3 separate regions of the Mus musculus genome follow, and all the other regions are reported to be linked to region 2. Evidence: microRNA targets listed by miRTarBase, many of them from high-throughput screens and not tested one by one. Region 2 holds a microRNA gene; each other region holds the end of a gene's coding sequence.

Evidence for each region. Region 2 holds the annotated microRNA mmu-miR-15a-5p (UAGCAGCACAUAAUGGUUUGUG, at 971-992, shown strand). A microRNA usually pairs through its seed, bases 2 to 8, with sites in the 3' UTR of a target mRNA and lowers its output. Matches are read on the target gene's strand: a 7mer-m8 pairs with bases 2 to 8, a 7mer-A1 pairs with bases 2 to 7 and ends in A, and an 8mer does both.
Region 1: miRTarBase lists Chka as a target of mmu-miR-15a-5p. The part of its 3' UTR that is shown has no 7-base or 8-base seed match.
Region 3: miRTarBase lists Wasf3 as a target of mmu-miR-15a-5p. The part of its 3' UTR that is shown has no 7-base or 8-base seed match.

Annotation. Positions count from the first base shown.
Region 1 is chr19:3,893,166-3,896,165 of GRCm38, reverse strand. It overlaps Chka (choline kinase alpha), which reads right to left. Exons shown (of 12, transcript NM_001271496.1): 12 at 1,797-2,818. The coding sequence ends at 2,759. Tcirg1 (T cell, immune regulator 1, ATPase, H+ transporting, lysosomal V0 protein A3) reads left to right here. Exons shown (of 20, transcript NM_001136091.2): 20 at 1-116. The coding sequence ends at 52. Among named protein-coding and RNA genes, the nearest start is that of Tcirg1, 12 kb to the left of the region's middle.
Region 2 is chr14:61,629,916-61,633,066 of GRCm38, reverse strand. It overlaps Mir15a (microRNA 15a), which reads left to right and starts at 957; the gene lies at 957-1,040. Dleu2 (deleted in lymphocytic leukemia, 2) reads left to right here. Exons shown (of 7, transcript NR_028264.1): 4 at 584-630. It overlaps Mir16-1 (microRNA 16-1), which reads left to right and starts at 1,095; the gene lies at 1,095-1,187.
Region 3 is chr5:146,470,070-146,473,069 of GRCm38, forward strand. Wasf3 (WAS protein family, member 3) reads left to right here. Exons shown (of 10, transcript NM_145155.3): 10 at 151-1,056. The coding sequence ends at 308. Among named protein-coding and RNA genes, the nearest start is that of Gm6408, 10 kb to the right of the region's middle.

The DNA of each region.
Region 1 (3,000 bases), not on the chromosome of region 2:
AGGCACCGGCTACAAGCTCAGCCCCTTCACCTTCACTGTGGACAGTGACTAGCTACCCACTGCAATCCCTGCTTCTCCGAAGTGGGACAGGAATAAAGAGCTGGCTGGCCCAGGAACTTTGTCTCTGTCCTCTCTGGGGTACCAGGGTTAGGCTGACACTACAGTGGCCAGAGCTCTAGACTCTGAATATGACATCTATTTGGACCATTCTTCAGCAGAGTTAGAGGATAGGAGGCACTGGTTTAGCATCTAAGCCTTTAGATGCTGCTGGGATACCCCATGAGCACATCTCCAGACTCTTGGGAACCAGAGGGTTAGCTCTAGGCCAAGAAGGACCAGTTTAGTTTTGTGGGAGTGGATTCCAACCAGGTGGGAGGAGTGAGCTTCCCACTTTTCGAGGTGTGCAAACTGGCCCTGTATTCCCTGAAGTCCTTAAGGTCCTCCATGTTTAGCTGAGGTAGGAGTTGCCTCTTTCATTCCCTCCGGCTGGGAGGCACATACATAGCCAGTGCATGTCAGAGGCCAGAGACTCAAGTTTTCCAAGTTACAAAGTAGTTCTTGCAGCTGAAGGCCCCAGCAACAAAGGCTGCTTTGAGGCCAGAGCTGCTCTGTGCATAGTGAGCCACAATGGCCCCGGCCAAGCTACTGGGGTGGTTGGGGGTGGGGGTTGTAGACTGTCCTGCTGAAGCTCTCTGAATACAGGGCTGGGAATGCTAGTCTCTTTAAGGCACTTACACATGCTTGGCAGACTAAGCTAAGAGGAACATAACATAGCTGGGCAGACGAATGTAGAGGATCCCCAGGACATTAGCAGGCCAGCCCTAGCTCTGAAGTTTGCCTTCCTAGGCTGGCTATTCCAGTTGCCATGGGAACAGCATGCCTTAACAGCAGCAAGCACTGTCCTGGCAGTTATCACCACTTAACCGGTGTGATTGATCTGACCTCTGCTCATTTGAGCAGGCAGGTAGAGTAAGGGCTACAAAGGTCATTTGGGAAAAGCACTGTCACAAATGGGTAGTTGTAGAGAAGCAGGAGTTGGGCTGGAGAGATGGCTCAGTGAAGGTAAGAGCCTGGCTTGCTCTTGCAGAGGACCTGTGTTTGCTTCCTAGTACTCACTGGGCAGTTCTCAGCTGCCTGCGACTCCAGTTCCAGGGCATCCTACTCCTGGACTTCTGGGACTCATGTGTATGTACCTCTTCCTACCACATAATTAAAAATAATAAAAATAGCCTTTGATCCCAGCACTCGAGGCAGAGGCAGGTGGATTTCTGAGTTCGAAGCCAGCCTGGGTCATACAGAGTAAGTTCCAGGACAGCCAGGGCTACACAGAGAATCCCTGTCTCAAAAAAATAAAAATAATAAATAAGAAAAGCCTGAGGGCTCATCATGCCTGTTATTTCATTAGGCAGCTGAGAGTCAGCTGGAGTGAAGCACAGGGCAAGAACAAGCAAGCCACGGCCACCACTTCCATCCTATCTGTCAGTGGAGTTTGAAGAAAGGCCATGTAAGACTGTGCTGGCGTGCAGCATTCTTGAAGCTTGGTTGGTCAGAGCAACAGGAAGAGCTGCAGCTGCTGTCTGGGCCTGACTCCTTGGCAGAGCAGCAGAGTGAGGGTCTGTCAGGAAGGGTGGCAAACCTGGGGCCATGGACATCAGCGGGGCACAAAATTTGATGTTGCTCTGAATGAGGTGTGGTGTGGTGTGGTGAAGAGGATGTCCAGCCTGGCACTAGTCACATGGCTTGTGTGTGCTGATGGAGAGAGCAGGGCACTGACATATGAAGGGTAACAGTCTGAGAACAGGTTTCAAGTTGTTTATTTATCTGTATAATACAGTCTTGGTGGTAGCAGAAATATGTGCACAAACAATTCAGAGTTCAGAGTAAAAAAAAAATCTAAGTTTATCCCATTGGGTATTAATGTACATGGATTTCACAGCTCTAATCTACCTGCACCCCAATACCCCACAGACAGCTGCTGTCTCCCAGTGACATCAGATGGGAAGCAGCTTCAGAGGGCAATGGGCAGAAGCCCGAGTTCCAGGCCAGGCAGAGGGAAGGCAAGAAGGGGTGAGGGAGCTGGCTCCACTGCTCCTCCCAGGAAGCTGGAGCTATAAAGCACACCCAGTTAGGAGACACTGAAGTTATGGCCAGGCAGTGGTGCTGGTCCATGCAGTCATGCGTACACAAGCACAGGAGGGCTGCAGCTGCCACCTGCATACCCACAGTCAAGTGTACCCTGTACAGAATCAGCTGGTTGCCATCCATAGACCCCACAACTCAGGCTCCTCCTGTTGAGCCACTTCACAGTATGTCTGTTCACTTGCCCTTCAGAAGTGTCTCCAACACATTGTCAGGCTGTCACCTTCAAAGCCTGGTGACAAATGTGTTGCAGCACATTAATATCCTAAGTCAGCACTTGGAGTACCCACACAGCACTGCTCTGTCCAGCTGGGGCCGTAAGTGGCTGAAAGCTGTAGCCATGCAGCCAAAAGGCCTTCAGTTTAGGCGGGTTCTGAGCTATTGCACTATCGTACTATATTTCTGCTTCCAATCATGGTTCAGAGTCCTAGTGAGAGTGTAAACAAAGATGAAAGAAATGTTACTCCACTTTAATATAGTCTGTAGTATCATACACATCGGTGCTCAGTAGTGAGACATCCAGGCCTTCTGCCCAGGGCAGTGGTCACAGCAGCGCTCCACTGAGGGCCTGGTGCAGCCGCCTCCCGCAGTCCAGTGGTGAAGAATGGAGCCACCCCATTCACACCCCAAGCTTCCTCTTCTGGTCAAAGTAGGCCTCGAATCTGGCTTGGGCATATTCCTGGAAGAGACCGAACAAAGTACTTCACTATGTAGCCAGGCTGACCGGACCGTCTGTGCTGCTGTGGACCACCATGGCAGCAAAACCCACACCTGTGTCTCTGATGCCATCTTTGATCATCCGGTCATGTCAGATTTTTAAAATTTCATTTCATTTGTCAGGGCATACTCATGCCACATAGC
Region 2 (3,151 bases):
ACGGGAATGGAGAAATGGCATTGACCCACTAGAAAACATTTGCTACACAGTAATCTAGTTTGAATGGAAAATCTGGTATGAACTGGAATAATAAGAACAGTTCTTTGTGAAGGGATGGCTAAGTCCCCCACTAAACAGAAAAGAGTCTTCTTAATAGTGTAAGAAAACCTAGATATTCACACACACATAAAATGAAGTTGGAACTTAACGTAGTAAAAATTTTGTTTCAGCTAAGTCAAAGTCCTGTGGTATAAAATGATACTCCTTTAAAGGACTAGCCTTTTTAACTGGGAAACACACAAATGGTTACTTAGGCTTGAGCTACAGGATTTCTGATATATCCTTTTAGGAAACCAAATAGACCTGTTATCCTAAGATGATGTTCTGGGTAATAATAAATGACACTGAACTCACAATAACTATTCCAATATTGAGATAAATCTTGTGTTCATGTGTAGATTGGGGGTTATATATTTTTGGGGAATATGTTTCATGTGTATGTCTTCTAAATATTTTGCTAGTATAAATTTCTTGAAACTGAGCTCTTACATGTTTGTTCTTACATGTTTCCTTTAACATGAAGCTTTGTCCTATGGATTTGGCTTTGAAAGATGTGCTGCTCTTAATAAGGTAAAAACCAACTTTTGTAGCTATTTCATGTGTTAAGCACATTCAAAAGTTGTTAGTTTAATAAATGAGGTTCTTAAGTTGGTATGGGAAAATGACTTGCTTTTCTCGTTTCATGACTACAATAAATTACAGCACTGTATTAAGTTTTCTGTACGCTTTTATTAAACTTATGATATGGAAATACTTTTTATTCTGCTGAAAGCCTATAAAATTATGCACATACCAGTGTTAGATTTTTTTCAAACATAGATTTTATGTGTTCTACTTTTTCCTAAAAAGCCTTTTCTGTAAATTACTATTGAGGTGCTAGGAGTTTTCAAAACCAACCCTTGGAGTAAAGTAGCAGCACATAATGGTTTGTGGATGTTGAAAAGGTGCAGGCCATACTGTGCTGCCTCAAAATACAAGGACCTGATCTTCTGAAGAGAGTACCTGTCTTTTTATTCATAGCTCCTATGATAGCAATGTCAGCGGTGCCTTAGCAGCACGTAAATATTGGCGTTAAGATTCTGAAATTACCTCCAGTATTGACTGTGCTGCTGAAGTAAGGTTGGCAATACTCTACAACTGTAATTCAATGTGTATTGATGTTACTTGTGTGTTTACACGGTTTTTCTAATTGCATTAGTGATTTTATGTTTGGTATGATTCTGTAATGATGTTAGTAACAACGCTCTACATATTGTGTCTGTTAAAATACTATATAATTGTGGGATGGTAATGCAGCTCAGTTGGCCAAGTGCTTCTTGCTAGCATGCACAAGGCCATGGGTTTTAGCCTTACCACTGCATACCAGGTACACTTGTAATCCTAGATCTGAGGAAGTGGAAAAAAGAGAATTAGAGGCTTAACATCATCCTTGGCCATAAAGCAAGTCTAAGACCTATGTAAGGATCTGTCTTTTAAAAACAAACAAAACATAATGACTTCTGTGTGAGGAACTGATTATAGGACTTCTAGATACCCAGATTTGTAAATGCTTGGATCTCCTGTATAAAATGTCTGCTCGTGACCAGTGCATATCCTCCCTTATACTTATTTAAACTTATCTCTACATTGTTTTTAATGTGTAGTGCAGTGGGATGTTAACATGGATAGTTGTATTATTCAAGTTATTCTCTTAATGATGAGAAAAAAACTGTACAATTCAGTACTAATGCAGTTTTTGTCCAAGAAATAAGTTTTTTGGTTTGGTCTTTTGAGCCTGGGTCTCACCATGTAGACCAGGCTGCCATGAAACTCACTGAGATCCTCTTGCCTCCGCCTCCCAAATTCTTTGTTTAAAACTGTAGGCCCCAATGCCTGGCCACCCAAATGTTTTGAATGTGTGGTTGGTTGGATCCACAGATGGAGCACTGACTAATAATATAACAAGTATTTTTAAGTCTTGAACACCTTTCCAGAGTTTCTTGAGAGCTACAGTGGTACAGAATATACCCAGTACCACCAAGGCTCGAGCTCTCTTTCCAGCATTTCCATATAAAAGTTTATTTGAAAGAGTTTAGGAAGTACCAAATTGTACATGAATTTAAACTCATATTATTACTTATAATAGAAAAATACTTTTCTCTTGATTTGAAGTTTTCTTTAGATACAGATAAAGTTTGAAATGCTACAGATTATAACATAATCTTGAGTATAATGTGCCTAAATATTTCATTTTAAATGAAGGAGAATAACACTAAAATGTGTACGTTGAATTTTTAAACTTAAATTTAGAAGAATCCTTAGAATAGCTGACCTTTTTATTGGTTAACTGAGGAAACAATCTGAAATTTAATTTGCAACCTATGACATATTAGGGTATAAATCCTATATCTTCTAACTTAATAATTACTGTTTTTCTTATTTTTCACTAAAATGTTTAACAGGAGATTTTTATAAGTCAAAAGTATGAAAGACATCTCATCTGTGCCTTAATATTTAACTTCAGATTAAAGCTAACAGTCATTAATTTTATAAATATATTCAGAATATTTTAATTATTTCAAAGGAAATGTTCTTTTTTTTTTTTTTTTTTTTTAAAGATTTATTTATTGATTATATGTAAGTACACTGTAGCTGTCTTCAGACATTCTAGAAGAGGGAGTCAGATCTCGTTACGGATGGTTGTGAGCCACCATGTGGTTGCTGGGAATTGAACTCCGGACCTTCGGAAGAGCAGTCGGGTGCTCTTACCCACTGAGCCATCTCACCAGCCCGGAAATGTTCTTTTAACTATCCCATGTGCTTTATTTTAAATGTTTTACGTCATTATTTTAAAATGTTCAAGAAAACACATTATCTCACAATAATGTCCTCTAACTCTGTCATTACTTTTTACAAGGAGTCTCTTACCTTTTCAGATTAAAGGTTCATAATTAATTCTACCGTGTGTTGTGGAGATCCTAAAAGTATTTCAGTTATTTTTTAAGGAATTGTCCTCAAAAGAACCACTACTCAATTCTAATTTAAAGGTAAAATTAAGTAAGTTTTAACAAGTTGATTTAATTAACTATAGACTCCGTTTTTGGAGCATTTT
Region 3 (3,000 bases), not on the chromosome of region 2:
ATAGCCTGAGTTTATATGTTTTCTCTGCCCTCCCTCCAATGTTCAGGGTCTTGTCTTTATAAACTCGTCTAGATAGGGCAACCTGTTTGGTGTCCTTCCCTGGGAGCCAGGAGACTGATCCCCCCACCCCACCCCGTCTCCTGTTTGCAGGAATCCAACTGAAAAAGGTGCAGGAGCAACGCGAGCAGGAAGCCAAGCGGGAGCCTGTCGGGAATGACGTGGCCACCATCTTGTCTAGACGCATTGCTGTGGAGTACAGCGACTCAGACGACGACTCTGAGTTTGATGAGAATGACTGGTCTGACTGAGGCACAAGGGCCAGGCGACCAGTGGACAGCCAGGGCCCCATATGCAAGTGTGTTAGGAGCTCCTGTGCTCTCTGCACCCTCACAGTGGTATTTCCCTGTAGCTTTAGTCCCTTTTGTATTAACAGTGTGATTTGCTTCTGCACATCCTTCTGGATTTGTTGAGTATTTACTGTGTAATACTTAAGTGCCACAGAACACAGCACACCGTGCTGCACACCAGGAAACTCGCAGTATTAGTGCATCACCCTGGAACAGCATCTTGCTTCCCTCTCAGCCGTGAGAGTCCCCTCTCCTGTCCATCCTGATTTGGTGGGCTTGCCACGTATCTGCGCAGCTGCCCCACGTCAGCTCTCTGCAAGATCACTGGCTGTGTGTCTCAGTGATGTCTTCCAACCAGTGGGTGATACGTTTTCCTGTTTCTTCCCTTTGCAAATTGAATTCCAGGTAGATATGGTTGTAGAGGGGAAAGTTTAACAAATCAGAATGAAATGTTTGTCTGTTTGCACACTGGGCCTGGTGGCCTCCAAGGAAATGTGTACGATCGTTTGCTTTCTCTATCTTGGCGCTTGCAACCGAGAGCGGCCATTTTTATGAGGGGAGCCCTGTGGGTACTCATGTGGAAAGTGCCCACTGACTTTGGCAGATGGAGTTCACTTTCATGGCTAGCCCTGATAGCGTTGGGCACCAGTTAGCCAGGCCATGTTCAAGCTGCCTAGAGTCTGCAGAGCTTGCATGGCAGAGCGGCCGCATCTGGTTCCCTCCTACTCCACCCAGTGGAAAAGAGACCTCCACGTTTTATTTTCTGGGATCCCTGCTCCTCTGTTCACCAGGGAGTGAGCACAGGTCAGCACCTCACCCCCCTTGCTCTGAATCATGGAAGCTTGGCTTTAGCTGAGAGATGCCACCAGCTGTTCACAACCCATGGTGCTGTGGCTAGATTCCTGCTCAGTCTCTCAAACAGGGCCACACCCCTCCTGAAGCACAGCTCTCTTCTCTCCTGTTGTCGGCACATTTTCAATTTTAAAAAGTACCTCACAAGATAAACTTGATTCAGCCAGTTGCCCGGGCAGAGACCTGACTTCCCCTCTCCTGCCCTGATCCTTTTTACCAAATGGCGATTCCATAGTCCTGGCTGAGGCAGGGGCTCAAAGTCCAGTGTCTGCTTTGCAATTCTGGAAGGACAGCTGCTTATTTAAATAAGTCTGTGATATCCGCAGGCTTGGGTTACAGGGAGGACCTTGCAGAGGGACCAGGACACTGCCTTCCCTTAGGTGCATTATTTACGTGGCCTGCAGCTCTTAATATCTCTCACTGTTTATGAAAAGAAAGATTCAGATCCGGGGTGACATTGTGTCAGTTGACAGGGAATGCCTGTGGGATAATTAAAAATGGTTTTTGCTCATGAGTTTGGGATGTCACCCAGCCGCCCACATCGCCTGCTATGTGTGTGGACGCCTGTCCGCTTGGCCAGCTATCCTGTAACACCTGCCAGTAGTAGGTTTTCCTCATGTCACTATGACAGTGAAAGCCCATGTGCAAGCCCCTCCCTACGCCCTGCTTTGGCGTGTGTCTGAGTGCTCTGTGCTGCGCCATGGCCATCCTGGAGCCTGCGCACACGTGGCCGCTGCTGTGACTCGCTGTCCTTGGTAATTGGTGAGAGGCTTTTTCTTTCTTTCTCAGTTCTGCTTTTCCACACTGAGACCCACCATGTTGACATCATCCTCGCGACGTTGACATTTGAGCCTTTTGTTCTGTCTCCCATGTGCCCTGTAGAACCCAGCACTCATGTTTGGCAAAACTTTTTTTGGTAAGGTCCTTATGCTCTCAGGGTGGAGGGAAGACATTAAAGCTACGCAGCCATTGTCAGGATTTTTTCTACTGATGTCACATCAGAATATAACTAGTGGCTCCTTACTCACAAATGTTCACGAGCTTCTCCGTTGTCACTTGTCCTGTAGTTTTGCCAACAAGTTAATTTTAGTTTGATTTTATAGCTAGAGAGAAAGCTTTTGCCCGTTGCATTCTGTAACCTTCAAAAGAATGAGAAACGACTAAAATCCAATTCAGATTATTTTTAGAGATTCTTTTTGGCAAATTTGATTTAGTCTAAAATTTAAATTCAAGTTGCTTGAATACTTTACAAAACGAGAACAAAGTAAAAAGTTTAGATTTTTGATTTCCACTTTTTTTTTAAAAAGTACTAAAACAAATGGAGAGCAGACATAGTAGCATATTTGACTTCTACACATTTCATGCTTATACTTAATCTACAGATCGCAAGGTTGTTTTATATTATCCCCTTATAGTGTTCCATGTGTATTGTAGCTGAGTTTCAGATACGGTATTTTCTCATAGTGTAAACTCAGGCAGATGAATAGCTGGAGAGTGGGTGGATGGATGGGTGAGTATATGGGTAGATAAATGGATGAGTGGATGGGTGGGTTAGGTGGGTAAGTAGCTAGGTGGATGGGTGGGTGGATACATGGATGAGTGGATGGGTGGATTGGTGGGTGAGTGGATAGGTGAATGGATGATAGGTGGTGGATGGTTGAGTGGGTGGATTCATGATGGATGGATGGATGGATGGATGGATGGATGGATGGATGAGTGGATGGATAATAGGTTGATGGGTGGATAGGTAGATGAGTGAATAGATAGATATAGATCAGTGGGAGGATTGGAAAGTAGGTGA